4 linked regions of the Arabidopsis thaliana genome follow. The protein of the gene in region 2 interacts with the protein of the main gene of each other region in a pairwise test. Each region holds a gene or a part of one and is shown on either strand. Other genes may lie near its edges. The genes, in order: AT4G02940, AT3G61790, AT5G04320 and AT1G12440.

Region 1 (9,480 bases), on a different chromosome or scaffold from region 2:
ATTGGTATTACATGTGTTAGGATATTTCAGAAACCTGTGAACTTTGGAAAAAGCAAGAAAACTTGAAGAAAGACTAAAACCAATAAGAAAAAGAGTTTAAGATCGATTAGTGATCAAACGTTCAACCACTTGTGAGTTTAACATATCCTTGGGAAATCTGAATCGTATCACCGTAAGCAACACCGTTGGTCAAGAATGACTGATCTTCGTGTAATACAGCCTGCTTATGCTTGTGTATTAAGTAATACATTCCTTGAGGCAGATTTAACTCACCCCTCTCTTGCATCTTAACCAGCTCTTTCCTCAGTTCTTCAACGTTATCATCTGCTGTAACCTCTACTTGAATCATCCTGGTATATCCATATGGCTGCAACATTACTATCATCTTCATCGCAGGCGAGTCTGTAAAGTTAATGACCTCTTCGACTGAGTCTGACGGCGAAGATTCTCTGTTTTTAACCTCTTGATCCCTGTTTCTTATGCTCCCAACCGCCACAGTCGACGAATCTCGAGGGGCAAGTAACTCATCAAGTGAATATGATGGTCGTGATGATCCATTGTCGATTCTCTTCGCCACCACTCTCATTAATGGAGGCCGATCTTGTTGATTCTTACTGAACTTTTCCATAGTCAAAGCACTTGATTGTGGCGATAATGGAGAATCTTGATTGTTAACGAACTCATGAATAGGATTTGATGGTGTTGATGGAGATTGGTTGGTTTGAGGCACTTGGTTCTGAGTAGGGTTATCGTCAGGAGAGATGGAGAGAAGGATACGAGAGTTGTGACGTATCTGGCATCCAAACATATTAAGATGGTCTTGAAGTACCTTGCGTTTGAAGATAAGTATTTGCTTGGAAACAGGGGTCCCTTGAGTCATCTCGATCTTCCGTTTAATCATTAACACTGTGTCCCAGAAAGAAACATCAATGGTGAACGATGAGCCACTCTGATTCTCGATGATCACACTTATCATTGTATCAATGGAGACTGATGAAGAGTGAATAGAGAAAGAGAGAGTCTGAATAGAGAAGGTGATGTCAACTTGGGACTTTTTTTGTAACGAAAGTTTCCTCATAATGTGTTAACTAATGACCTATTATTTTGCTTATCTTTCTCTCAATTTTGCTATTTTTGAAAGAGATTTTATCTATTGTTCTTTGTCAACAAACGTGAAAGATAAAAAAATTCAACAATCTTGAAAAAAAGTAACCAAAAATACAAAATTTTTTTTTTTTTTTTTTGGTAAAAGGTGAAGGAATACAACGACATGGAAATCACTAAAAGCTTAATGTGGCTTTGAAGAGATGATGTTGTGCTATAATCTGATTTTGTTTGAAAACTAGCAATGAAAGGTAACATTTTGAGAATATACTGATAATAAAATCGTACACAAAGTAGAAAACACATGCCTCGGGGGATGTAACAAACTTAATTCTATCTATAAAACCTGAGTTAACCTAAACTGAATTTGAAAGAACAAAAAAAGAAACAGAACAGAGAAGAAACAGAGCATTGCTTAGAAAAAGACCAATTCCAAGTTTTTTTTTCTTTTTGCTGAAGAAGTCGAATAGGATTAACCTACAGTGATCACAGGCTCAGAGGTGGATCCTCCAGCTGGAGAAGAAGAAGCAGCAGGAGGAAGCGGAAGTAATCGCTTCTTCTGCGCGCGTGGAGGCAAATGCTTCACATGTTTTCTTGAGCTATTAACAGAGGCCCATGGTAAGAAAACACCGGTACCACCACCGGTTCCCATCACATTGGGACTTGGTAATATCATTGGTTGAACCGGTGGTGGTGCCATCATGACCATTGGAGGACGTAGGACTCCAAGTTTTGGCATCATGTCAATTGAATGATCATAACCATTGAGGAATGGAGTTGGTGTCATTTGGTAGGGTTGCCACATTGTCATGACACCGTCGTTGCGAGGACTGTTGGGTTGTGAATGGTTATGATATGTGTCAGGTCGAATACGAAAGAATGTGATGCTTACTCTTTTGTTTTGTGATGGACACATTACATGTCTTGCCATGTCTGCACTGTTCCCTCTCATCACCAACAAAGATCTATAAAGATCAGGTCAAACAATGTTAATGAAGCGAAACCGACCTTTTTCTTGGAGTTAAAGAAAGAGGTTTTTGATATTATTTTTACCCTTGTTTGAGAGAGAGTGTCAAAGGTCCTCTGAAGTTGCCTTCGTTGTCACTTGAGAGAATGCGTCCATAGGCCATTGTTGATTCAGAGAGGACAAGAGTGGAGATTGGTTGTTCTAAGTGAGGTGGTTTGAGGAAAGGCTGTGAGTATTCACCCTGAAAAAGAGTGGCAATCTCGAAGGTTAAAGAAAAGCGGAAACATAAAGGAATGGTGATCCATGGAGATGTATATACCTCTTCAAAGAAGTTGATGACACAGCCGTTAGGTCTCTTGTATTCTGGGATGAGTCTCCATGTGACAAAGTGATCAATGACACTCTCAAGAAGTGGTGGAATTGGCTCGATGTTAACTACAAACCAACAAAAACTCTAATCGGTCAAAGCCATCCACATGGATCAAACCATTTAGACTGAAACTTGCGGATCAAGCGATTCCTTACCAGAGTTGTTGGTGTCGTTAGAGTTTTCATCCGCCTTGACATGACCAAAGATGGGGACACCAAGCTGAATCAGCTCTCTCTTGTTCCCTTTAATCTGTTTGTTGAACAGTATAAAGCTCTCACCTGCATTCATCTTGTATAAGCACCGGAAAACTCTTAAAGCCTATAATGTGTTTAGCGTAAGACAAAGTCAGTCACCTGCAAGCTTCCCGTTTATGCCAGCTTCTCGTAGTTCTGCCACAAAGTCTAACAATTTAGATATCTCATCTTCTTTAAGTAACTCTTCATACAGCTTTAGTCCTTTCACAACATTCACCTATATCACCACAACATTAATTTATCAATAACCATATGCATATGTATGTCTCTCAAATCGAACTTATCACACTACTCACAGTGTGGCCTTTGACTTGTTCTTTAGCTTGGAAACCTTTGATAGGTTTGATCTCACATGAACGTGCATCACAATCTTCATGGCTATGGCATATAATCTGATGTGCAGTATCCGCAACAACAGTTTGGTGAACATCCTGATGAGAACCTATGTAACAAAAACCATAAAATTATTCAAGTTTTTGTTCATACTTAACTACAAAAAAAATTAGTTGAATTAGTGTTTTTAATCAATTAATTAATGTGAGCTTCGAATCTTTGGCTTTAGTGAGAAACACATCGACTAAAGTAATGACAGTAAATGTGATATTTGATTCTCATGGACCATTCTAAAGAACTACTAATAGTTTCCTTGTAAAATGTATCAGAGAAAGTCAGAGACTTTCAATGTAGAAGACATCAAGACAAGACTACAAAGTCTACTGTGTTCGTCCACGTGTCTTTACCTAAACATGCGACTTTCAACACGAGTAAATTAAATACCACACATCACGAAGAAAAACTCACTAGACTGGTAAAAAGATCTATACCAAATAAAAAAAACCTTTATAGAGTTCTGACTTATTTTTATGGCCGTGAACAAAAAGCAAAAAGCCAAAATGTGCGCGTGAGTCGTGAGGGATTCGAACATTCGGGACGAGAAGAGAAAAGTTAAAGGGCGGCACGGAGAATCGTGGGGACCATAATTGATGACGACTCAAGTTTTAATTAAATCCAACGGCTGCTATGAGCTCACCATTCGAAGAAGAAAGAATAAAAATTGCAATAAAATCATCACACGCGAATCAATGTGAGATTGATACCTTTGATGCGTTTAACAGTTACATCAACTAGAGCACAAGACAACAAAATTGTTGCCTACTACTACTACCACTAACACACACAACCACATTGAGAATAGGAATCCTACTACTGTAATCTTTTAATTCCAAACGACATCGTTATGACGTTTTTGGTCCATTTTTACATTGTTAGAAGTCAGAGAAACTTTTTCAGATTATATGCTTTTTCAACACAACTACAATAGATTTGTACTTTTGTACGAATTTTCATGAAAGTTTGTGTTAATTTTTTATTCTTTTAATATAGTAATAAGGTCTGATTTTATGATTCGAACCCTGTTTTAATATGTACGTACTTTGCATAACTAAAGTAACACTAATAGTTACGTTACAATTATTTTGTCCTAAAAAATTAGTTTCGTGTAAAAGATCAAAGTTAAGTGAAGAAATAAAAAATTATAAACCAACTATAAAGCCGGCAACAAAATATATTAATAAATTATACTTAGTCATATAAATTTATAATATATTATCTTTTCACACACGTTAAAAGTAACTAACATAAATTAATTTCTTAGTTTTCAGCGAAATATTCGTCTTTAACTATATATTATTTTTTTATTACAAAAATATATAACTAAAAAGTTTCCAAACATGGTATTAAAAATACCAGGCTGTGTTAGTCATTTGATTAGTGTGGAACATAAAAAATAAAGATTTCTTTTTTTAGAAAGAATCAGGTTAATTTGGTAAAATTATTTCTAAAAATCGAATCTCTGGCATAATGATGCAACAAAATCTCACGATTGATATATATATAAAGAAAACAATTTAAATAAAAATAGTAGTAATACTAATTAAGAATTAAAAGTCAAAATTGTTTAGAATACATCTCGGATCCAGTAGAGGGAAACACGTACTTAAATCTTGAAACTTGAATTAGTCTGAGAAATATATTCTAAAATATAAAATATTGTTATTTTCTTCTTTAACAAGAAATATATATATATATATATACAAAAAAAAACAACTATTTTCAACTCATTCTCATAATTGTAATGAAGTTTTTTAAAAAAAATCGTCACCAACCACAGAGAGCCAGTTTACACAGTGAACAGAGAAGAATCAAATGACCAAACTTTCAAAGAATATGCTTTTTCAAATGAACAAAAGAACAATAATTATATGAGAAAACCTATCATTGTTTCTGGTAAAACTATATAGAAAATTCTGGATCCAAGAAAAAAATATACTTCTTTTGAGAATTGTGAAGTTTTTTTTTACTTACCTGAATCAGTGATATCACTAGTTGGTGAATCATCTTCAACGTCTTCTACATCTCCGTTTACGTCATTCTCCGTTACTTTCTCGCCGTTAAAACACTCTTTCTTCACTTCCTCTTCCTCCGTCGCCACCACCTCTTTCAGATCTTCCTCCGCCTCCTCCTCTGTTTTCTTCTGTTTCAGATCCTCCGCTTTCTTAGCCGCCACTTTCTGAAGCTCGATCGCTACTTCAGCGATGGAATGATACTTCTGCATCTGAAGAACAGGGATCCAATTCAGACGACGGCGATGGATCGCCGCGAATACAGCTTCGTACTCCGATCCAGATACCGCTTCTTCAGCTATCCTTAGATGCGAGCACATCGCGTCGATTATCGCGTTTGCCGCAGCGAATTCTCCTCTGAACCATGAGATCAACGCATCTTTACCTAATCCTTCGGAAACCACAGTCGCCGGAGGAACTTGAACCGGAACGCTCACCGCCTTCGCCGTCGTGACGTAAGCAGGGTTGAAACCAGTGGCTGATCGATCTGTCTGGCGTGCTGGCGCTGCCGCAATCGTCATCGGCGTAGTATCCGGCGAAGATTCAGTTGTTCTCTCTTTGATCGATTATTCCGATCAGTCGGCGGCGGAAACAGAAAAGGCTAAAATGGGTTTAAAATGTGGGCCGGGTCGGGTATAGGGTCGGGTCGTTGCACATGCAAGTGTAATGAGAAGGTTTTTTCTGAGGAGAGAGTTTGGTTCCAATTTATATTGGGAGGGATCCGTACAGGTGGGAGAGGCTTATGGTGATGATGTGGCACTCTCTTGTAGCTGACGTGGCTAAACTTCTGGCCCCTCTTTGCCCGTTTCTTATTCCACAGAGTTTTCTTTTTTGAAATTGTTTTGGACAAAAGAGTTTAATTTGGTATTATACAGGAATAATTTGATGATGTTTTTGTGTGGTTAAATTAGGTAGATGGCAAGATTTGACGATGAAATTTAAAAACAAATAATGATGTTTTTGATCGCCATTAAATAGTATATTGATTTTTAATTTTTTAATAACTTTTATTTAATTATTATCGAATATGTGATTTTTAAAAATATATATAACATGCTATTTTGTTATGTGGATGTCTAATTTAATTACCTAGACGATTATGTTGGTATATAAACGTCTACTTTATCAAATAGATTTCTAACAAAACAAAATTTAAACGTGAAATCACAAATCATAATTTTTATGTGATTTTGCAATGTTATTTGATGGAGTTAAAACTTCAATTTTCTCAGATTTTAAAAATGTAAAAGCTATCAAACATTAGTTTTGTTTTTCTTGTACTCTTTATATAAGTTTTTTTGTGGGGTCAAAATATGATGTTATATTATTGAAGAATACATGATAGAGAAAATTATAAAATAAATTATATTTTATTATTAATGAAATAAGAATAAAATGTATAATATGTAAAGGATTTTTTTTAGTTGCGTTTTGAAAAAAAAGAAAATTGGTTTCTTACACTTTAGATGTAAAACACCAAATAATTTGAAATAGAAAGAAATCTCTAAAACTTTTTATAAAGAAAAGACAGAATCTGATGGAATATGTTGTAAGCATTAGCGTGCAATTAAGCCTAGGTTAAAAAGCTGTATTAGTTGTATTCACTTCTTGTAAAATTGGTAAGTTAATTTAAGTTCTTTCAAAAAGTTGTGACATGGTATGCATTTTTGGGGTTGATGTTTACGCACAATAGTTCCTTGGGACAACAAAAGAACGGCGCTGAACAAAAGAGTTATCTTGCCGTATCACATAAAATGACTTCCAATTATGTATTTATTCTGAACTATAAAAGTACTAATATCGTTTTCTTTATCTATAATCAAACGATTCCAAGTAACATCTAATCCTTGTCATTTGTTGTGGTTAACTTTGATCAAAATTGTGGTGGAATGATTTGAACTTTATGGTTCTAAACTTTTAAAACAATAAACGCCTATAAATTTAGTTGATACTTAAACTTTTCAACGAGTTTTAATAATGTATAAAGATTGATGTTTACCATAAATCTAACATTTCAATGCATCATTTATGAATAATATAATTTTTTCAAAATGCTATTAAATAGAAAATGTTAATTTATAATTTAAATAATTTTTTTTCAAAATGCTATTAAATAGAAAATTTTAATTTATGAATGATTTGTGTCAAATATTACTATCAGAATTTTATGAAAATCAACTTATATACACACCAGATTATTTTCCATTTTGTACTCATTCTATATTATTTTTGTTGCTATATATTATTCTTCTACAATTGGTATAAGCAGCTAATATTTTTTATTCTGTTTGCAACATATTTTAGTGAATTTTAAACATAGAAATATGTATAAGACATTGATCGTTTGGTGTTATGTGTTAATATTTTTGAACTTTACACCAACCAAACTCATGAGTCATGATGTCAATGTCCATGTCCATGAGGCCCGTGGAAGATGATCTAAGAGATGACGCATAAAGTAATAATAATCAAATTGTTTTTGTACCTCTAAGATATTAATTAATTAGTCTAAGAGCTTCTTCTACTATTATCGTTGTTCTTATTTGACTTCTCCTTTTGTTTACAAGTCAATTCACTAATAGTTGAAAAAGCTCCCTTCTACGTGATTAGTTGAAAACATTAAATATGATAGTTACAAAATAGAAAAAAAAAAAAATAGAAGATTCCGATCCGTGATTAGTAAGTATTGATCCGTGGTTTGTTGTTTCGCATGAAATTTTTGTTGAAAAAAGTTTCGATAAAACTTGTTTATCTAGTAGTCATAAATCTAAAAATATGTGAATTTCGTTTTAATTAGCGTTGAAAAAAATGTTGAATTAGAATTTAGATGGTGTTGACTAGAAAAACATTGAATTTTATGGTGAGACTAAATTATTATCACCAATCCATAAAGAGCAAAAAGGTTAAGTAGCCTCTTGGCAAAAAGGTAAAGAATCAATGAATGATGGGTTAGACCAACGAAATGTAAAATTATGGGACCGGAATGAAAAGTCTACGAAAATGGTGGGGTGAGGTAAAATTTGGGCCTACATCGTCCAGATTTGTGGGTCGCCGAAACAGCACCACCCTCTAACATCAGTAGATTCCCTTTTCCACTACCTATGGCACACACACAAAAGAGGTATGGGGTTAACTCACGAACCCTTAGTGACCCATAAAAGTGGTGCTCATTGTTTTTCATAAGAAAGTTTCTGATCATGATCCATGAAGAAATGCTCACTCGTATTTTGTTGATCGGATCTTCTATTTCTAGATACAGATAAACTTTTAAGACAGTAAATTATCACACAAGTTCACTGGATAAATTTGTATGTAGCCACTAGCCACATAAATAGTATAAAATTTGGGGTATTTGTGTATTTGGACACTTTAAATTCTAACCAACTCTTTGAGTTTGAGACATTCTTTTGGGAGTATTTGTCTAAACTAGCATGTTATTGATTACATTATTACCCTCTCAAAATTGAATATTTACTCTTCCACCATTTTATATTTGTCTAAACTAGCATGCTACTCCATTCTCTCAACATGCTTTCTATTTTAACATTTCTTGCTACTGAAGAGAAATGAGAAAATAGGGGTTTTCACCCTTTCTTGTGGCGTTACTCGATCGCTAACACTCGAATTGGTGAAAGCTCATGGGCAAAAGATTCATTTGTCGCGACAACGAGACCAACACTCAAATGCATATAATTTTGTGTTACAATCGCATTTCGAAGTTGTGAAAACATATAGTATCTTGTCATTTTCAGTCATTTAAAATAAGGCGCCAACCAGCTTTTTTTATTATTATTGTTTTAACGAAATTTATTTTCTTCGAATTTTATTTAATGGTTTGTCCAGTTTTAATTTATATACGTCTTTGAATTCTTAGACATGCATATCAATCTGTTAGAAATTCACAAAGCTTTATTTATAGAATTAATTATGGATTTGCCATTTTTGGATAACATTTATAAATTTCCTTTTTTATAAAATTTGTGGATTTTATATTTTTTCAAGCTATAAAATTGTGATTTAACATATGTTTTATTCGTTATATTTGAGTTTAGTCGATTACAGTTGTTCTTATGGTTTATTCTTTGGTATAAAATACGTATTTTCGCCAAAAAAATCCTAAATACATACATTTTTAAGTGTTACAAAATGACAAATACATCAAAATTTAGTAAAAATGGCAATTTAATTTTTTTTTGATGAAAAATGTAAAATCAACAATAATCCTTTATTTATATTTGTAAACTCGGTTTTTCCAACATAAACTAACCTCTTGTCTATATCTTATTATATAAAGTATGGTTTTCAAAGTTGCTAACTCATAAGATTGTGCCACGTGTCAAGTTAAACGATCAGATGTTTACATGTGTCATTCAAAATTTAACT
Region 2 (6,705 bases):
TTGGATGACTCCGTCTGTAGGAACTGGTGGTACCACATTACTCACCTTTTCTTTGTCAGATGCTGCCATTTCATGATTCAGAAAACCAAAATCTACCATAGCCCCATTCAACATCGGAACAGCAAAACCAGAAAGTTCAGTGTTCTCACTGTCAGTCGAAGTTCCCAAGCGTTCATCTTTATCATCATCACCTTCACTGTGTGTCAAAGCCTCATGTGGAAGACTCTTCTGTGACTGAATGCTTATATCTTCCTCATTGTCGCCTGTTTCTTTGTTCACATCGAGCTTCTGCTTTTCATTAAGTTCTATGCCAGCTTCTATCTCCCGTGCTCGTCTAGCCATTGCTTTGATTTCATGGATCTTATCAACAAAGTCCAGCTCAACATGAGGAGAATTCACGAGTTCCAGTTTCTTCTCTGAACCCTTAACTTTAGAAATACTAGTCATAAGTTCATTTCGATCAAACTTAGGCTTCTCAAATGACATCAATGGCTTTTCCAAACCCTCCTTGTGCAAAACTTCCACGGTACCTTTCTCCGACATATCCCTTTCCTGCCAAGCTTTCATCTTTCTCCTCATCATCTCCTTCTCCAACTCTGTACACTCAACCTCATTACTCTTCCTATACACAAGCACCGTCTTCAGCAACCAGAGTCCAATGTAACCACACAAAACAGCTCTTCCAATCGCCGGCAACTTTGGAATTAAGTCAAGACGAAGAATTGCGTTTTGGACTGAGCTAACGAGACGAAACTCTTCCTCTGAAGAAGAAGAAGAAGAAACGAACTTGACAAGAGAACTCTCCTTATGGATCACATGTTCCCCATTCTCCATTTGTTCAGCTAATTTCTTCGCATATACAAGCTTAGAACTCACTGATTCCAAATCCCCAAGAGCTGATCTTCTTCTACTCAAGACCTCGTCTTCATCAACCTCTACTTTCTCTACGTTTCCAACAGAATCCTGATAGACAGTGAAAATGGGATTCGAACCAATACCCCAAAACTCTGCTTCCTTGTTATACCGAGCAACCCAATCTTCAAGCTCATTCAGCAAATTTGAATCTTGAGCAACCCTATCTTTCAATCCCTCGGTGCTACTTAAATCATCACAGTGACCAAACTTATGGCTTTCGTTTAGAGGTTTCGTACCTGGTTCAGAAGATTTCGGAGTCGAACGCCAATACTCATCACCGATGATCTTCTTCCTCAGCGAATTACGTCGCCTCGAGGTCTCTCCGAACCGAGCCGAGACTCGGAGAATTGAAACGCGATAGTAGTGGAATTTGGAGATGGGCAAGTTGAATCGACGTTGGTTAGCGAGTCTCCTGTTCGAATTGGACGAGAAAGACGAGAAATTGAAGAAACCATCATTGGAGTTTAGTAGAACCTCCATTGATGGAAACCAAAGGGATAAAGCTCACTTCCGAGTGAGAAAACCCCCAAAAGCTGGGTTTAACAGAACAATGATGAAACGTCGTCGTTTCTTAAACAAAGCTAACGCCTTTGAACAACACTACAGTTGAAAAAAGGTTCAACATTTTACATTTTCCAGATATAAAGCTCATCACTTCCAAGTTCCAAAAGCTGGGTTTAACAGAACAATGATGAAACGTCGTCGTTTCGTGGACACAACACAAGCATTACATAAATTTATGAACACTACAGTTGATAAAAGTAAAAGGTTCAACATTTTACGTTTTTCCTCCAGATATAGCAGAATTGTAATGAACTATATATTTTATAATAAAAAAACCTCCATGACATGAGAAAGACAGAGAGAGATACATAAGAACAACCCCAAGTTTATCGTCAGAGAAAACCCTAATTACAGATAACCATGGTTACAGAGACAAGGCCAAATCGGTGAGGTTTTCAAAATCAGTTTGATTTTTTTTTTTTAATTTTCAAGACAAGTTTGGGATACAAGCTCCTCCACCTTCACCACTTTGTTGTTGCTCTTTCCATATCCTTCCAGTGACTCGAAGTTTCAGCTCTTTCCTATCTCCACCTGAGAAGAAGAGAGCCATGTTTCTTTGTATAATTAGTCCATCATGACTGTCTCTAACTTTCCTGTGGCTGTCTCTTACGCTTCTTGGTGTTCCTTCCCATATCAGCTTCCGACCATAACCTCCCACTTCTAAACTGTAATTGTAGTTTCGAGCTTCTGTCTCGTCCCCCATGAAACGCAGGAACGCCATGTAGACTGGAGCCATTCCGAGCTGGAATGCCTCAAAGTGAAGACAGAAGTATTGACCGAAGCAGTGAAAGACCTGATTTTCATTTTTGAACCAGAAACAAAACCAAAACAGAGGAAACCTTGATAAGCATTAAAGTATATCAAGTCAACATGTATAGCGAGATGGAAGATTCACAATTCACAACCATAGATTAGATAAATAACTGGACCTTCTCTAGGAAAGCTAACTCGCAACAAAAGCAAAATTTGACTCAGCTGATCACATTACAGTTTATACCAGACAGATCAAATTTTATCACAAATATAATCCTATTACTTTAAACAAAGCCTCCTAACTTATCTAAGTGTATACTATGAAGCACGATTCATATGTACTTACAGTTAACATCCATGTGGCGTTTTCGACTTCACGAGGATTAGACTTGACATAACGATGGTTGAAAGTACACCCAGAATGCATATCCACCTTATGATCATCCCTCAGATGAGCAACTAAGAAAGGGATATCGCCCGTAACAGAACACTCGGATCCAGCATAAGGGCAGCTATAAGGTCTGAAGTTACATACAGTCTCATGTTTGAGCTTACTGTAATAAGGGAAGATTTCAGGACATCCAAGTGACATGTGTTTACAAGGTAGTTCAAGTGATTCGGCTACTTTTTCCAGTGCCAAACAACGGATATCACCGAGCTCTTGTCTACAAGTTGGGCAGCGGTTGTGAACCCTGGCTTTACAGGTTGAACACAACGTATGTCCATTGTGACACTGTAGGGAAATCAAATAATTGTCTATCTGTTATTCCATAATTCTCTAAAGAAACAATAAGAAGAATCTTAGAAACTATCAAAGCTATTGACAAAATTTAGTGACAATTGTTTCAATTGTAGCCATTAGTGAATGGATAAAACTAAATTTCAAGTTACAAGAGCAACACAACCACTGCTTCAACATCCATGATTCACATCATTAACTCAAAACCCTAAACAAAATCAACAAATTAAAGATCCGGGGAAACGAAATCAGAGAACAAGGGATTGAAAAGAAAGACCTGATGAATGGGAGGGTACATAGAATTGGTGCAGACAGGACATTCGAGAAGCTCATGAACACTGGTGGTGGTAGGGAGAAGCCCAGAAGCAGCAGCATTAACGTTGGTGGTGTTGTTATTAGTATGATGATGCTTGGAAACAGAAGCGTAGGAATGGCGATCTTGGTGGATCTCTTCATCATCTGTCACATCCATGGTTGATGTACAGTCCATGCTATCCAAATCCATTGAAGAAAGGTGGAGACTTTGATTGATCTTCGATCGAAACGAAAGATCAAAATCCGGAATTGAAGAAACACCACCGAAACAGGTCAACCCTCGTGAAGTGTTGTTAATTTTCAAAAACAAAAAAGATAGATGCTCTTCTTCATCAATTCTCTAGAGAGAGAGAGAGAGATAGTTGCCGTCAAATGAACCGGAAACGCTGATTTAAGATCGGACGGTCACAAAGGCGGCTGTGTTAAAGAGAGAATGTTATTTGGAAACAAATTGAATTATAAGAGATTCAGAAGAATTTACTGGATAGGGGAAAAATAATCATATTCTAATAATATACGTACAGTATATCCTCTCTCACTCAATGATTTCTTTGTTTTTAATTAAAGGGCCATGATCCAGTAGAGATGGGCCTAAATATGTACATGGTGCACATGATTGCTTCTTTTTTTTTATTCTAGATGTTTTTCTCTCTAGTGGGATTCTGTCTATCATTATTGTGTGTTCTTTTTTTACTTTTAATTCAAACAATTTCTTTTCCTTTGTACAAGAAAAATGATTTTCAACTTCTAAAATGACAGCTAAATTCAAAGATTCATGAAAAACATGCTCATCTTTCTGTTTACTTTAACAAAAACTTTAAGAGATGTATTTAGGTAAAATTAGACGGTTTAAGAATATGAAATTCATAAGAGGAATAATAAGTAATGGGATGTGGCTTGGGTTCAAAGTCACTTCAAAGACCAATGATAATGTAAATGAACATTTTACTCTTCTTCATCTCAAGCAAACTCTCACAATCTTAAAAGCAAATTATTCAATTAATAATTGCTTCTCATCAGTGATCGGTCTCATGAGTGATATCATCCTTAAACACACCACATAAAAGAAAAAGAAAAAAGCGAACAACAACGATCCATCCAGCTTCAATGATCTGTCGTTGCTTTTTAACAGAACATGTCAATTGTACTATTATCTTTCTGTTGGGTTTTGTGACTTTTGTCTGAGAAAAATATAAAGCTTCAAAGAATCTGGGACTTGACTTAAGAACTGTTTTCACAGCTACAAGAGATCACAAGCGGATCTGATTATTCATTCATCAAATATTCTTTAGCTTTTTACTCCTATTTGCATCAAACAATCAAATTTAAGGCACTACTGGATCAAAACTAGAAAGATTTTAGTTATTTGTTACCACTGGTTAGCCGATGTATCCCGGCACTTTTCATCATTGCCCTGAGCCAACTGCTGTGGATTAGTACCTTTTACTCGATTACTAAACAGTCTCTGGGATATTCTATCTTTAGCCGTTGTTTTCTTACGCCTTGTGGAAAAGGTTTGCTTCTTGTTTTTCTTTTCAGCAAAAACTCTATCAAACTCATCATCCATAGCATTCGATCTAGAAGTTGAGGCTATTGCCGCACCACGCAGAACTTCATGATTGTGTTCCTTAACCTTAACCTTAACAAGCTTTGCTCTTTTCCTCACCACTTCTTTGTCTTTCTCCCGGATATTCTTCAGAGCCTCTTTCGCTATTTGCCTAGCTAACTGATTAGGATCAGAATCTGAAGTTGTTTCATCCATAGACACATCCTGGTTGGTCCCTGAAGTTGAAGAAGTTTGGTTTTCACTCTCATCTAATGGAGATTCCTGGATTATGGTGTTTCCTTCATCATCCCGGGGTACAATGGGTCCGTGAAACGGACAGACTCTGAGATCTCTTCTCTGGCAAAGACCACCTTTCTTTAGAGAAGCACGGCATGGAGGTGTCTCTGTTCTCTCTTCTCTATACACGGTTGCCTGAAGATTCAATTCTGCTATTTTATCTGCTGGAATTATAGCATCTTGATCCACCCTGCCCCAGTGGCTCTCGATCTCTAAACCCCGGTAATTAGCTCGAACTTCCGTAGTTGATTCCCAATTAGTCAACTGTGATCCCCAATTCATCACAGGCGCTTCAGAAATTAGCTTGTCTCTAAGAGAGTTTCCACTGCTTCCAACTTTTTTAGTGTTCGACACTTTATTGGACCTAGCTTCTGATGTAGACTTCTTTGCTTCACCTGATGATGGTAAAGATGAATTCTCACTCTGCTGAGTTCTCATCACATGAGCCACGTTCTTGACTGAATCAGTTTTAACCTTGCCATCATCCTCCTCCCAGATATCTTCTTCTTCCTCGTTTGTTTCTTCATTACCGTGAATATCAGTCATTCTTGACATTGTAAAACCAGCTTCTTCCCATTTCTTTTTAGCTGCCAATATGTTATTCCTGATATCAATCAAGTCCTTCAACATGGAATCTCTCGTTCTGTTATCACTTACGTCAACCCTAATGAGAAGAGAGATCCCTTCTTGAACCGAGATCAGATGCTTTGTCACTAGAAGCTTGCACTGTTCCCTCAACACATCAAATACAATTCTGTTTTCACCAGTTTCTTCAACCTTTTCTGATTGTTTCAGTGAATCAAGACGAATTTGCCTCAGATGAGAACAACGGATCTCCTCAAAATCTTCCTCATCTAAGATCGCAAGTGGAACACCATCATCCCCTCTCCACTGAACAATTTCCATACACTCCTTGATTTCCTTTATCGTTACCTCAATCTCATACTTGAAGAGTCCAAAACTAACTCTCAAGGAATCAAACTTGTTCCGCAAAATCTCTTTTGTCTTCATCTCCCTCTCCTGTCTCTCTCGTTGAATCCGTGCAGCATTAGCCTGTAAATCAGGGAACTTTAACTTGAGGGTATTCTTAAGGTAATCAAACCCAAGTCTAAGCTCCTTGTAATGAAACCCAAAAGACAAATTCCACTTCTCCAAGAACTCAATAGCCTTTGAACGCAACGTAGTGGCAACAGCAGGTGGTGCAGGAAGAGGCAGATTGCTTCTAAACCCAATACTTAAACTCAAAAGCTGATCAAGATTCTCAATTATCAAAGTTCTAAAGAGCTTTGATCTCATGAATAGCTCGTCGATTATGAAAAGCGTCAGATATCGAACCTGTCAAAGAAAATTATCACCGCGTTATTTGACCAACAAACCTGATCAATCAACATTGACTAGTCCTTAAAAGAGCAAGTTTCAATGAATTGAACGGATCAGAAATTGTTCAAATAATGTGAAAAAAACCTGAGAGTGGTTATGTCTCATGAGCTCCATTAGGGTTTGCGAACTAAGTCGGACCTCCGAATCAGAATAGCGAACAATGGATTTGATCGCCTTGAGAAGCCTCGGGTCAACC
Region 3 (8,012 bases), on a different chromosome or scaffold from region 2:
ATTTCCGGTTACTTCATCCCCAAGGGTTCGCGTGTGATGGTCAATACCTACGCTCTAGGGCGTGACCCGAATTCTTGGTCCGACCCGGAAAGTTTTAACCCGGGTAGGTTTTTAAACCCGATTGCTCCGGATCTGAAGGGGAATAATTTCGAATTTGTTCCATTCGGGTCGGGTCGGAGATCGTGCCCGGGTATGCAACTCGGGTTGTACGCATTTGAGCTTGCGGTGGCTCATCTTCTACACTGCTTCACGTGGAGTTTACCGGACGGTATGAATCCCGGTGACGTCGACACCGTTGAAGGACCGGGTCTCACCGTTCCTAAGGCAATTCCTTTGGTGGCGGTGCCGACCACGCGCCTCCTCTGCCCCATCGTCGTCTCGTGAAGCCTCCACCTTTGAAAACAAGAGTTTTCGGAATCGGAGTAATAACTTGTAATGTGTTATAGAACCTTAAATTGAGAAAATTCCTATTGTACGTTGTTATTTGTGTGAATATATAATCTAAACAAACAAATCAAAACAATACCACATTAAACGACTTAATTTTAATTAATGTATTCAAGAAAAATTAGCATAATAAAGTAACGACAAAATACAGAGGCGTAGATATAGAAGGCAAAAGCCATACAAGAGCATGAAGTAAGCTTTTGAATAACAATTTTGCAGATTAAGAATACAAAAGCACAAGACAATGCTGGAGATTTAGCATTTTCGTCGCATCTTTACTCTAAGTGAGACTTCTCTGTATGATTGGACTTTCTCTGCGGCATGTCTCGATGGTCTTCCCACAGATGATCTTCTTGTCATCCCTTCGTTTTCATCAGCTTTAGGCTTATCCTTTGATTCTGTTTCCTGATCACACTCTTGAACTATGGTGTTGACCAAAGATGGGTCTGTCGCTATTTCTTTAATGGCTTCATCGGTTTGAGATTTACCCTTTGTTGATTGTCTTCTCGTTGAGAAACTGGCAAGTACACCACAGAGATAACAGTCACATTACATAACTAAGAGTTGATATTCATCAGCGGAAATGCAGGAAATTCACTGTCACTAACAAACCTGCGTTTCCGGGTTATCTCTTTTGTTTCATGCCTGCTTTCGGATGGTTCTACAGATTCCGATCTTGATCCAGCAGATTCTTCGATTACTATGCTTCTGAAGATATTATCCAGGAGGGAAATCACAAGTGGCATTAGCTAAACTCAATTTCTGTGTTATCTGTCGACGGGATGGAGAAATTTTTTAATTTTTGTTTCAACAAACCTTGCATCGTCAGCATTCGAGGTTTCAGTCACATGCGGTTCTTGTATATCAAACCTTGCAGACAGTCTTAAAGAGACTCTGCACAAGTTATACAGGAAATTAGTGACCTCTAACGCATTTTTAGTAACATCTGTTAAAAGGATACTACTTGTAAATATGAAGTAATTCAGGCCTCTTACAAACCTTCTCCTCTTGATTGTCTCCCTGACTTCGTCTCCCTCATGTAAGCTTTTACATGGTTCAGCTTCTTCGTGCCTTAACCGAGCAGACCGTCTTCTCAAAGAGAAGCTGCTCGAAACGGAGAAAGTGTCATCACAATACGCTATTGTCAATTCAGAGTTTGCAGTCAGTAATTAAAGTGGAAAGAGGAAAAAAAAAAAAAACTAATAACCTTGCGGTTTCTTTACTTTCTTTGGCACCATCCATCTCAAGCAACTTTTCCGTTTGTTTAGTTTCTTGAACATCAAATCTGGTAGATTGCCTTCGTGTACATTGCCTACAACGAAACAACCAAGAACAAGAAAAGATAAAAAGTACAAATCAGATATACTTATATTCCCACTGCTTTTGTGTAGACATTGATGTAAACTGTAATTCTTGGACTGAATAAGAACCTCTTGCGATGCACACTCTCTTTTACCGGGTTTGCTGCATCAGGAACAAACTTCTTGTTGACAACATTGTCAATATCTTGGTTTACCCCTCGAGAGACAACCCCCTTATCAATGTCATCTTCAGTCTGACAGATCTCTTCGGGAATACCAGTAGTATCTATTACTCCAGAAACTCTTCTACAAAAAAAAACAATAACAATTCAGGTTTACATGACTGCCAAAATCTTTCACAGAAAACATGGATAAAACATAAAGCAGATTAGGACCTTTTACGGTTAGCTTTACTGTTAGAATCATTCACAGGTATTGGCTTGACGTCGGCACTTACTGAAGCTGAAGATGAAACAATATAGAGTAAGGATGCGAAGCATTTAGGATCAACAATGAAATTAGGCAAAACAGTTTACATTTTATCCTTGTTGTTCGCTTTCTCTTGGTATCTTTATGTTTTATGTCATGCACCTGAAAGGATTTGCAATCCCCATCAGAAGCGCTTGCTGAAACCTTCAAGTCAACAACAAAGCCAAATAGTATGAAAACAATGTAGAAAAGGTGATAATTTTTTATTCTGAGAATGTCACCAAGGATAATCCAAGTAAACACCTTGTCTTTCGATTCATGATGTGTACGTGGAAGTACTTGCTCCTGGACAATAACAAATCTCTAGTTTTAAACTTTTTCGTTGGTAACTATAGTCAATGGAAAATATGTAGGCCAACGGAATAACTTACCTCAAGATGTTTCTTGACTTTAAGTAAAGCATTCTTGCAGCCAAGTTCATGCTGGAGATCCTTGAGCTGAAAAAAAAATCACATACAATGTCAATTGATTGAAGAACTTGTAATATAATGAATCAAGAAAAGCATCAGTTTGAGAGAATTCAGTTCTAGAAAAGCTTACTCTGTCTCTATTTGTATTGAGTTCCTGGCAGGAAAAACATGAAAAAAGGACAATGAAGCCATACTTTAATCATATAGTTTCAAATAATCTCGCAATCATCACAAAATCAAAACATAGAAGGATGGGACACACCGCTAACATCTGACTGTTTGCCTGAGCAAGCTGCAAATTCTTTTCCTGCACACTCCGTAAGTTAATCCTCAGTTTCTGAATCTCAATACCGCTCAACTCGACGAGTTTACTGTATTCACAAAATAAGCACACAAAACAAAGATTACCAACAAAGAAAACGTTCATGAAACTCAAAAGCCAACATATTCTAACGAAAACAAGACACATACTTTCGGTGTGCTAGAGCTTTCATCAGTGTCATGTTTTCCTGCAAAATCAAATCAATACAGCAACCAAATCAGAAAAAAAAAATTATATGCCAGGATTCAACAAGATTAAAGTGAAGAGGAAATGCCTTTTGAAGCTTTGCAGCATATTCCTGGGAAGAGAATAGCATATTTTCCTTCTGCTGCGTCTCTTCTTTATCCATTTGTTTTACATTATCCTGCAAGTTGCTATCGATTAGCAACAGCGGCAGGGAATGGGAAAGATTTGTTGGTTCATGTATGAATATTGTTCACCTTTTGGGAACCTAAAACCCTATTAGAGTAGTCAAGGCTCATTTCAGTTAGCACCATCCTTTGATTGGGGACTCTGAAATTGGGGAAACATGAATCAAGCCTCACTCATACTTTCGATTCCAGTAAAAGCTAAACAATTTGGACAATGAATTAACTTACCAGTAAACACGATAGTGAGAATCGTACTCTCTCCTAGCTTCAGAACCTTTCAAAATTCGGAAGAAAATGGAAGTCAACAATGTATCACCGTCGTCACCGGAATCTCTTCGATTATCTCTTCAAGCAAATCGAAGCCAATGAAATCAAGCTTTCAGATAGACTCACAGCCTTTAATTTCATACAGATGTGGTGCTGGGGATCCAACGGAATCGACTGCTCATCTCCCAAACCCTAGATTCTCACTCTATCGAAGAAGACGGAAAGATACGGTTGGATCGGCGGCAAACCAAGTCAACAAATTTACAAAAAAATTCACCTGGTCTGGTTTCATCAGCTTTAAAACCCGGTTCACATCTGATTAGAAAATTCAATTTCCTTCTAGTTGGGCTTTTGAGCTGCTTTAATTGGGCTCGAAATAAATTGGTCATAACTCATAATGGGCATTTGTAAAAACAATTTCTCTTTTTCTGCAATTTAAATAGTTAAAAGTTAAAACCTTCATTAAAAAACAAATGTGGCTATGTGCAATAATAACTACTGTAATCAGTTTTCGGATGAAAAACTTAAAATTCGGTTGTAGTTTTTGGATCAAAATCTTAAAATTCGGTTGGAATCAGAAACATTTAGGTTTATAGCTCTGCTCACATGTAGTTGTAGTTTCACGTCAAAGGTATTCTTCTAAACAACTATGATTATAAATTGTAACTATTACATAATTTATTAAAATTTAATATTATGTTGCCTAAAACCGTGATAATTAAAACTCATTAACAATGCCAACTTGGCCTAGTAGAATCTGACAAAAAATCTTTGTCAAGTTGTACCGATCACTTATATAAATATAGCCGATTTTATTGAATTGATGATACATTATTTCCTTTGTAATTCTTTCTTATATTCTATCACTTTTCCTCGGTTTTTTTTTTTTTTCTTCTTCACAATTTCAACATTTTGTTTTTTTCTTTGAATACATTCTCCATAACAAACGAATACCACAAGCCTACAACTGCAATTGCAATAAACTATTGTATACGGATAGGTTGTTGGGGGCGCCACTTTGTCAAATTATAATTAGGCTGATTAAATTAGCAAACATATTACTGGTTTGTCGAAATTCAAAACTATTCACAAGAGTTTCATTGATTCGATTTCTTTAGTGAAGATACATTTGATGAAAAATAACTGCAACTAAAACACTCGATTAATAGACAAAGATAAGTGAAGACCATTATGGGTTAGGTCAAATTGTTATCTCTAGGTCAAAATTCTATTGATTATTGTTCTTTTTCTTTTCATCACCATTTACTTAAACAGAAATTTCAAAACAGTTATAGTTGAGGTTCAAGGATCAATGGATCAAGAACTCGAAGACTTCAATGTTGAAGAAAGCTCTTCTTTTATTCAATCATAAACCAAGTCTCTAAAGAGACATTACATATCTTTATATAACTAAGTCACAGCCGACTTTAGCCTTAACAAAACCCTAATTGAAAAGTAAAGTTCAACAAAGAAAAGGAAATCAAATTGGAAAAGGCAAACTTAAACAAGAAACAAAAGAAGAAATAAAGCTTATGTCTTGCACAAGAAGTGATAAAGATGACGCTACATCAATAAATCTTTCAAAAACTAAGAGAATTCTTGCGCTGCATCGAGTATTTTCGTCAAGGTAAGTATTGTTTTATATGCATGTTTTTTTGGTCTAAGTTTTATATGCATGTTTATAACGCAAACTACATTATTGATTTATCCCGTGATCAGTGACATATAAAAAGGCTGCTAAATCCATAGAAAAGTTGTTTTAGAGAGAGGGATACGTCATACGTGGATGATTGGGTAATTCAAGTAAACTGAGTCACTCTTACAAAAGTAAGAATCAGATTGGAGAAAGGTGGGAGAAATAGTTTTGATTAAGCACTTTAAGGATTCTCTGACCCCTTTCACACACTCTCTCTTTCTCTCTAATTTTCTTTTCTTCCACTTGAAACAAACTAGAGAGATTAGAGAGAGATACTATGTAGGAAGGCAAACACACAAATAAAATTCTTTTGGCCCTAGTTTATTATATAACCCAATTTGCACAATTCCCCATAAACCCATATTTAAGGAACTTGAGTTTCTAATTCTGCTGGTCTTTTCATAAGATATAATAGGAGATATAATGGTGGCTCATGAGAGGAGGATCCATAATCTTCAAAAACCAACGTGCATTTGCATTATCTGGTTTTGCCTCTTGGTTTCTCTCTCTCACCATGGAAGAGCATCATCAACCTCAGCATCTATCTTCAATCTTTCTCTCCCACACCAACACCCATTCCCTGAACATGTTGTTCTTAATGTTCAAAGGTATAACTTTTCTCTTACATTTTATTTGATTTCATTTAAGGGTTTGATTCATTTTCATGCTTTATCTTGTGGGTCTTTCTCATTCTCAAGTAATCCAACTAAAATTTCAAAAAAGTTTGAATCTTTAAAACCTCTGTTATTCTTATAATGATAATGACAATATCAGAAACAGAGCAATCTTCTCTGTTTCTTTCCCAACTAACATTTTAACATGCTCTGTTTCTTAATGTAGAAAACTCAACGATTCTCTCTCAAGAAGACAACTTCTCACTTACCAACAAGACGACGGCACCACGGCGTCGTCACCAATACCTTCTTGCATCACCGGAAACCCAATCGACGATTGTTGGCGCTGCGACCCAAACTGGTCGGCAAACCGCCAAAGACTCGCCGATTGCTCAATTGGTTTCGGACAAGGAACACTCGGAGGAAAAGGCGGTCAGTTTTACCTCGTCACCGATTCCTCCGACAACGACGCAGCGAATCCAATTCCCGGAACTCTTCGACACGCCGTGATTCAGCCAGAACCACTATGGATCATCTTCTCCAGCGACATGGGAATCAAACTCAAACACGAGCTCATCATCGGAAGCTACAAGACAATCGATGGAAGAGGCACGAATATCCAAATCACCGGCCATGGTTGCCTCACGATTCAGCAGGTTAGCCACGTCATCATCCACAACGTTCACATTCACCACTGTAAACCCTCCGGCAACACTTTGGTCGCTTCGTCGCCTACACATGTTGGATTTCGAGGAGTCTCCGACGGAGACGGAATCTCAGTATCAGCTTCTCATCACATTTGGGTCGATCACTGTTCTCTCGGTTACTGTGCGGACGGACTCATCGACGTCATCCTCGCTTCCACCGCCGTCACAATCTCCAACAACTATTTCTCTCATCACGACGAGGTTATGCTCCTAGGTCACGACGACCGGTAATTATGTCCACTTATTTCCCAAAAAGCCCCTTATTTACTAATCTTCCAATTAAAGAGTTAAACTTTTGGATTTATCAATTTAACCCAAATTTAATGGCTTATGGTCATGGTATTGTATTAAAAAGGTACACGGCTGATAAGGGGATGCAAGTAACAATTGCATTCAACCATTTCGGAGAAGGGCTTGTTCAGAGGATGCCGCGGTGTAGGCACGGTTATATCCACGTGGTGAACAACGACTTCACGGCATGGGAAATGTATGCAATCGGCGGAAGTGCTAGCCCTACAATTAATAGTCAGGGTAACCGTTACACCGCACCTATTGATCCCAATGCCAAAGAGGTATAAATTCTACTTACCCGTCTATTATGTATCAAATCGATTTCACAAAAAACTTACATAACCAAGCATTTTACACATAATGTTTTTGAATGTTTACTACTTCAAAGAAAACAAGTTCTTGAATTCAAATTTTTCTCAAATTTGGTAGAACTTTTAATGGGAAAGTTTAAAGCTCTCTTAAAAACAGGATAAGTATTTGTGGGATCGGTGTGCTCTTTCTGACGTGTCATGCAATATTGGTCCACTTGCGCGTTAATCCCTCGCGCCGGCTAAGTCTTATATGCCGGTTACAATATTTGTCGTCTACGACGTTGACACTTAACACAGTCACATCCTCCAAATCAAATTAAATGAGACGAGAAACATTGTAGTGTGTCTTTGACTTTGACGCTTTGGTGTCGCGTGGTTCTCACGTTACTGTGTTGTTTTGTAAAGGTAACGAAGCGCGTGGACTCAAACGAGAAACATTGGTCGGGATGGAACTGGAGAACGGAAGGTGACGTTATGGTTAACGGAGCTTTTTTCGTGCCGTCAGGTGACGGAGTGAGCCCAGCGTATGCCAGAGCCACCAGTGTTCAGCCTAAAGCCGCCGCGATCATTGACCAGCTCACGGTCAATGCCGGCGTTTTCGGCGATCCAAGGTATTATTATCAAATCATCTATTCAATTGCTTCCTCCACCCAAACTAGCATCTACTTTATTACGTTTATTTTTGCCTCTATACTTTTATTCGATTCTTTTAATTATTTCTAACACTATATTCTAGACTATATAACATTCAACATTTTTTTCTTTAGAAACGTATATTTCCTAGTT
Region 4 (6,353 bases), on a different chromosome or scaffold from region 2:
TGTTTATTATATTGATCATAGGATTTGGGGAGATATTCTAGACATGTAAAATGTCCAAAATCGAAAATTTATGTTTAAAATCGAAAATTGAATTCATATAAAATTGTTTTTTTTTAGGGGTAAAACTATGAATTACAAAAGGTTATACGACTGATGCAACGTCAGATCATTCGATATTGCATCATGGCCTGAAAGTGGTTTTTTCCAAAGGTTGCAATGTCGCAGTAAGTACTTCATTGTTCCACTATTTTTTCATGTATAAGAAAGAAAAATAATAAAGCCTAAAGCAAAGAAGTACAAAACATGTTTCACAGTTGAAAACTAAAAGTCTACATGTTCATTTGTTAAGTTTTATAAAGAAAACTGTAGTGCACTGCTTTTCTCTCTTTGCTTTTTGTAAATTGGTTGATAAGATCCGAAAAATGGACCCAATATTGTAATGTAACCATCAAGAAGTGAAAGTGAAAGTGAAAGCAACAGTTTACCCACACCAAGGACATATGTTCTATCATTTCATAGTCTACCTCAACTCGTCGGTTGCAGTCTTAAGTTTTGATATCAATTTTTGTTTGTTACAGTTTTTCATAGTTTAGACAATTTAGAAACCGTATTGAAAATCAAATCCAGTTTCATCTAGTGAAATTTCAGATCAAAATCAGTTGTATGCGAAGACAGTATATAAAAAATTTGGATGGATACTTCTTTTATAAAAATAGATCAGATGCAACTAGTGCACTTGATTGTGGATATTGACATTGTTCAATACACACCATTCAAAGATCTGCATTGGCATTGACTATTCCATCTTTTTGCTAAAAACTTTTGATGGGTTACACTTTAAACATAACCCCAACGAGATGAAGATCATACAAGCACAGGGAAATAATCTTATGAGCATCATTGCTAGGGAATATGTATACACAAACGACAGAATGTATTCAATCTACAGTCATCGACTACAACACCGAATATCCCAACTAGTTCAAACAAATCGATCATGGCCAAAACCGAGCCTCAAGTCTTTAAAGTTTCTTAAGCTATCAAAGCATACTGCCACTACCAGGCAAAAATCACTGATTTCGTTCAATCACTGGGCACTATCACCTAAACATCTCTTAATCTGCCATGGTTCGATATAGGTAAACTACTTTGACTACTTCATTGGATCCACCATAAGCTATATAAAAACTCCACTTACTCTAAGTCCCACAACTCTTAAGTGAATCAAACTTTGTCCAGGTAAGAAGAACACTACTTTCTCCAGCTAAGACAGAGAAAGCAAAATCAATGACTCATTCAATCAAGGACACTTAACACCTAAACTAAAGACACATCTAAATCTTCCATGACTCGATAAAGATACCCTGAACAACATCTTCAGCTTCAGAAATTTCAAGCTACATACTTTATCCACCATAAGCTATAATGCTATATACAAACCCCAACTTGTTCGTCCACTATAAACAAACCAGGGGAATCCACCATAAGCTCTATACGACATCTTTAGTTTCAGAACTATCAAGCTACACACTTTTATCCACCATAAGCTATTTACGACCCCCAACTAGTTCATAAGCCTCATAACCAAGAGAATCCTATATCTGCAAACAATTCAACTTCTCCAAGTAAGAAGAAGTAAGCTGGTACCAATAAGAACACAATTTCATAATATAACCAACACTTTATTACAGAACAACAAATCCAATGTTGCAAAACATGAAACCACATAATAGCAGAATCTAAGGCCTTTCCTAAGAAACCCTAAAAGCAAATAAAACCATAATAAGAGCAGAAAACAGAGAGCCAAACCACCAACATCACGAGACTTGAAAATAAAAAAACAAAAGAGAACACAACAGTTTCTTCACCAATTCATATCCTATCAACCTTATCAGCCTTCACCACAGGATTAGCTTTAGCAATAGCTTCTCTCGCAACTCCTTTGAAATCGAATTGGCACTCGTGACTCTCTGGATATCTATGAGTTCCACAGAAAGTGCTTCCACACCTACACTTGAAACCCGTCACGCCAACTTTCTTGTTACAGCTCAAGCATCTCGTAGCCGTCGATTTCGGTGGATCCAACGGAGCAGCAGCCGAATCACCCCCTCTCGTTGATGAGGAAGACGATCCAGATCCGAGGACGCCTTGAGTGATTTCTTGGCTCTGTTGTGGTTGAGTTTTGGGTTTATTAGGGTTTAGAGATTTCTCGACGGCGGCTTTAGCGGAAGCGGTTTGTTCCTCCGTGGCTCGGATGTCTCTGTAGCATTTAGAGCAGAGGTTCATGTTCGATGGAGATCCGAAGAAGCCACATCCTTTGACGCAGAGCTTTGGCTCTGAAGGAGAGAAGCTTGTGCTGTCGTTTTGCTCAGAACCCATAATGGAAAGATCTCCCAATTCCAAAGTCGAAATCTTACTGCAAAAGAAAAGACAACACAAATCGTGAATAACAGATGAAGAATGAATTTGTGACTTTAGGTTTAGGGTTTTTATTTATGATTCCGTCGAGAAAATAAAGGGAAATTGACAATATCGAAAGATTTAGAAAACGGAGATTCTTGGCTTGTTTCTCAAGCGAGAAAGACTAAAATTATTTCTCATTTATGACTAAAATACCCTTGGAACTCTTTATAAAGTCGAAGAGTAAATGCGTCATTTGTCAACACTTAAGACCAGGTCAGCGTCTATCTCACAAAGACCACTTTACCCTTCCGGCGCAAAAAAGGACAAAAAAGAGATAGATAAGAGTTGTTTAATCTTCGCCGTCAAAAACTTAAATCGAATGGTTCAAGAATAGATGAAGGATTCAAACGAAGAACACAAATCTGCATATCGGCACAGAACAAAACCAATAAGATATTTACCTAATTCCCACCCAAAACTCTGCTTTAGTATGTCGGCGACAATTCTCTCGTAAAGAAAATCTCTGACGGTATGTATCACTGAAAATTTCCGATAGAAACTTCGTGATTTGATCGGAGATGGAGACCGTAACCGAAACCTCTTAGCTTTCGCCAGAGAGAAATTAGGACAGAACAGAAACCAGACTCTTTTAGTTCTTTTGCATTTGTCTTTGTGGTCAAATGGTTTATTCATATGCGGTAAGGCGCACGGAAGATTTAATACATCCCTGATAATATTCGTTCGATGAAACAATCGGAGAGTGATGACGCCATTGTTTACTAATCCAACGGTGGTGATTGGAAGTTTTTTGATGAGATAAAGTGGATATAAAATGGGTGGGGTTATCAACTTTTTATGGTGTTTGTGGATTACGATAAAGTTGGTTCGAGTTCGTGAAGATAATCGGTTTTATATGAACCGGGTTTGGTTTGTGGGGACATGCTTAGCTGGTTGGACGGTGACGTAACAGTAGGATAAAGAAAAAAGGTGGCGCGTTTGTCCCGACGCGATTAGTCCATCGCTCTTTTGATTTGATCGGAATGTGATGATATGTTGTTCCAAATGTACTCTTTCTTCCTTGGGCCTTTTCAATTATCTCTTTCTTTTCTTCGCTAAAACGACCGGATTTTAAAAGTGGTCAGGTCTTTTCTCACTGAGTTTACTTGCAAATATCAACATGACTAAATCGTTTTAATTTACGTAAAGTGTTTTGGACACCACTATATCTAATCTTGAGCTATAATTTGTTTATGCTTGTCCTTAAAATCGAGACTAATTCAATTTCCATTTATCTGGTTTGGAAACGACTAATCGAAATCCAAAATCATCGAACGCTATCATTCAAGACGTTATATTAGCAAGCGACTCTCACTCGCGACTGCATCCTTTTTTTTGGATCCAATACTGACCATAAGGTCCACAACCAAATTAAATTTGATATAGTTTGTGAATTGTTTATAGGGTCCATAAGCTTCTTAGTTCTTATGCTCCTCTTTGGTATGGTATTAATACTTCAAAACGTAGCTATCTAATCTATATATCATCTATCGATATGTTCATTTTTACAGGGAGTCTTGTTCTTATATTTTGCTTACAAGTATCAACTTTGGTTGCGTTTCATTCTCTTGTTCGATCCTCTCGTTTTCTTTTATGTTATGCTCCGTAATATATATAAATTGCCTTCAAGCAACTAAATTTCAATAATTAAATATGTTACGTATTTCTTCTGTCAGTACGATGTATGTACGCACCGTAACGGCAAAGCGAAAATAAAGCGCCGGTCTAAAGCAACTCTGCTTACACATTTATCGGTGGTTCGTGACGGAGCAACAGCTATTAGCCACTCATATGTCTCCACATGTTTGACTACGACACCGGTTTAATAAGTTGAAACTAAACCACCTAATTATAAGGATATCATTTTTTAAAAGTTTTTAAAGCTAAGAACGGAAACGAATAATAAAGATTCTTTCTTCTAACCCCATTCGCTCTCTCCGATCAACACAACATTTGATCTAACGGTTTAATTTTCTCGAGAAACCGAAGGAAAACAAACAGAGGTGCATAACGATTCTGACGGAAACTTTTGAGATATTTTTTTTAGAGCCAAAAGGATTCACTTTTTTTGGTTTTATCTTCGCATCGATCTATGACGTACAGCAATGGCGTCGATGGGACGGTGCCTGAGCTGAAATTGAGAGTCGAAGAAGATTCCGATAATGGTGATTATCTGAAATTGAGAGGAGGATCAAATGAAGAAGATGAAGGATCATCGGCGGAATCATCGAGATGTCCGATAGGATCGGTTACTTCTGTCTGGTTCTGGGTGAAATTGATCTCCTTGGTCGTTTGTTTGGGTTCATTGGCCTTTGTTATCATCAAATGGGTTGGTCCCTTTTTGATTGAAAAGGTTCGTTTTTTTTTTGTCTCTCGAAGATCTGATGCTTATTGGTTACATTTGATTGGATTAGGGTATGCATAATGATTCTGGTTTCTGCTGGGTTTTTAATTGTTGAAAATTAGGGTTCTTGAATTACATGTATGAGTATGTGTTTATAAGGAAGGTTATTCATTTATCATCATTAATGTTGGTGTGATTTGTTTCAGGAGCTGATTCCATTTATAAATTGGGTGAGAAACACATTCAGCATACCGGTTCTCGGTCTTCTACTATTTGCCTCAGTGGCATTGTTTCCAAGCATTCTTCTTCCTTCTTCCCCTTCCATGTGGATGGCTGGTCTTACATTTGGTTATGGAAAAGGGTTTCTTCTGATTTTATCAGCTGCTTCCATCGGTGTTACTCTTCCTTTCTTAATTGGACATCTCTTCCTCCACAAGATGCAAGTAAGCATCATCATCCCATACTCTTTGTTCGGATACTTATTATTAAGCTTGTACCATGAGATGATCAATTTGGACTTTTTTTCTTTCTTGTCATTTGTGCAGGAATGGTTGAAGAAATACCCTAAAAAAGCAGCCATACTTAGAGCTGCTGGTGAAGGAACCTGGTTTCATCAGTTTCAAGCAGTCACACTAATCCGTGTCTCTCCATTTCCTTACATCATTTACAACTACTGCGCTTTAGCGACTGGAGTTCATTATGGTCCTTATATCTTAGGCTCTCTTGTTGGAATGGTTCCTGAGATCTTTGTCTCAATTTACACGTACATGCCTCTCTCTCTTTCTCTATGTCTCTTGTCTCAATGTTTAAGGCATGTTCTGCAGAATCTTAAGACTGGTGGTTTTCTGTTTTGGGATATTTGCAGGGGTATAATGCTAAGGACACTAGCAGTTGCATCAGACACGAGACACACACTTTCGGTTGTGGAGATAGTCGTGAATGTTCTTGGCTTCTGTGTAACTGCGAGCGCGACTATAGTCTGCACAATCTATGCGAAGAAGAAGCTAAGTGCGATGCAATCAGAGGACGTAGAGACATTACAAAATCCAATACTTTATTAACTCTTTTCACCATGACCACAACATACCATCATCTAACACGATCTTGAAATTGATAATATATAATGTTTTTTTTTTTTTTTGTTATTCTTATTCATTTGAAAATGAATATTTATGTCTTTTTCTCTTGTATATATGATATGTATCAATTGAATTTTGAAAATTTCCAATGTATATTTATTAGATCATCTAAGTCTTTTTCTTTCCTTGCATATAATCCACCTTATGTATCATGGAACAATGTCTTGTTGGGTTTTGTTCAAAAGTAAAAACAAAAATGATCCATGAAGACTGTGTGTCCTCCTATGTTCCATGAAATTTATGTATCAAATGATCTTTGGAGCTAACTTCGATGCTGAGTGTCAATGATGACGTCATCTGTTTCGGTTTTGTTGACAGAGTAGTCAACGCGAGAACCTCTGTGATGTTTGGGTTTAGTGCCACGTTATTGGGCCGTCGGACCAACTGCGCCAACTTCAATTTCATATGGA

What was found.
Region 1: the proteins of AT3G61790 (region 2) and AT4G02940 interact in a two-hybrid assay, tested with the Arabidopsis thaliana proteins (one large-scale study listed by BioGRID).
Region 3: the proteins of AT3G61790 (region 2) and AT5G04320 interact in a two-hybrid assay, tested with the Arabidopsis thaliana proteins (one large-scale study listed by BioGRID).
Region 4: the proteins of AT3G61790 (region 2) and AT1G12440 interact in a two-hybrid assay, tested with the Arabidopsis thaliana proteins (one large-scale study listed by BioGRID).

What each region holds. Positions count from the first base shown.
Region 1 is NC_003075.7:1,302,796-1,312,275, reverse strand, and holds AT4G02940 (oxidoreductase, 2OG-Fe(II) oxygenase family protein), read right to left. Parts: upstream 5,964-9,480; 5' UTR 5,619-5,963; coding exon 5,060-5,618; intron 3,138-5,059; coding exon 2,992-3,137; intron 2,913-2,991; coding exon 2,795-2,912; intron 2,720-2,794; coding exon 2,597-2,719; intron 2,507-2,596; coding exon 2,391-2,506; intron 2,313-2,390; coding exon 2,158-2,312; intron 2,070-2,157; coding exon 1,577-2,069; 3' UTR 1,238-1,576; downstream 1-1,237. Other genes in the region: AT4G02950 (Ubiquitin family protein), read right to left, coding at 122-1,078. UniProt on the Arabidopsis thaliana protein: Dioxygenase that demethylates RNA by oxidative demethylation: specifically demethylates N(6)-methyladenosine (m6A) RNA, the most prevalent internal modification of messenger RNA (mRNA) in higher eukaryotes.
Region 2 is NC_003074.8:22,870,068-22,876,772, forward strand, and holds AT3G61790 (Protein with RING/U-box and TRAF-like domain), read right to left. Parts: upstream 3,767-6,705; 5' UTR 3,477-3,766; coding exon 3,249-3,476; intron 2,966-3,248; coding exon 2,579-2,965; intron 2,273-2,578; coding exon 1,907-2,272; 3' UTR 1,630-1,906; downstream 1-1,629. Other genes in the region: emb1703 (embryo defective 1703), read right to left, coding at 1-1,395; AT3G61800 (ENTH/VHS protein), read right to left, coding at 4,656-6,464, 6,594-6,705. UniProt on the Arabidopsis thaliana protein: E3 ubiquitin-protein ligase that mediates ubiquitination and subsequent proteasomal degradation of target proteins.
Region 3 is NC_003076.8:1,205,067-1,213,078, reverse strand, and holds AT5G04320 (Shugoshin C terminus), read right to left. Parts: upstream 3,883-8,012; 5' UTR 3,734-3,882; exon of another isoform or gene 3,615-3,733; 5' UTR 3,569-3,614; intron 3,483-3,568; 5' UTR 3,467-3,482; coding exon 3,410-3,466; exon of another isoform or gene 3,334-3,409; coding exon 3,244-3,333; exon of another isoform or gene 3,157-3,243; coding exon 3,119-3,156; intron 3,019-3,118; coding exon 2,910-3,018; intron 2,802-2,909; coding exon 2,778-2,801; intron 2,675-2,777; coding exon 2,609-2,674; intron 2,523-2,608; coding exon 2,481-2,522; intron 2,382-2,480; coding exon 2,285-2,381; intron 2,211-2,284; coding exon 2,144-2,210; intron 2,055-2,143; coding exon 1,878-2,054; intron 1,760-1,877; coding exon 1,655-1,759; intron 1,552-1,654; coding exon 1,447-1,551; intron 1,342-1,446; coding exon 1,264-1,341; intron 1,156-1,263; coding exon 1,060-1,155; intron 965-1,059; coding exon 703-964; 3' UTR 501-702; downstream 1-500. Other genes in the region: CYP84A4 (Cytochrome P450 superfamily protein), read left to right, coding at 1-384; AT5G04310 (Pectin lyase-like superfamily protein), read left to right, coding at 5,727-5,911, 6,144-6,851, 6,980-7,196, 7,632-7,837. UniProt on the Arabidopsis thaliana protein: Dispensable for both meiotic and mitotic cell cycle progression. Required with SGO1 for full protection of centromeric cohesion during anaphase I. Required to prevent precocious release of pericentromeric cohesins during meiosis. Acts redundantly to SGO1.
Region 4 is NC_003070.9:4,239,944-4,246,296, forward strand, and holds AT1G12440 (A20/AN1-like zinc finger family protein), read right to left. Parts: upstream 3,259-6,353; 5' UTR 2,865-3,258; exon of another isoform or gene 2,417-2,864; 5' UTR 2,380-2,416; coding exon 1,873-2,379; 3' UTR 1,478-1,872; downstream 1-1,477. Other genes in the region: AT1G12450 (SNARE associated Golgi protein family), read left to right, coding at 4,553-4,813, 5,011-5,247, 5,350-5,567, 5,670-5,865. UniProt on the Arabidopsis thaliana protein: May be involved in environmental stress response.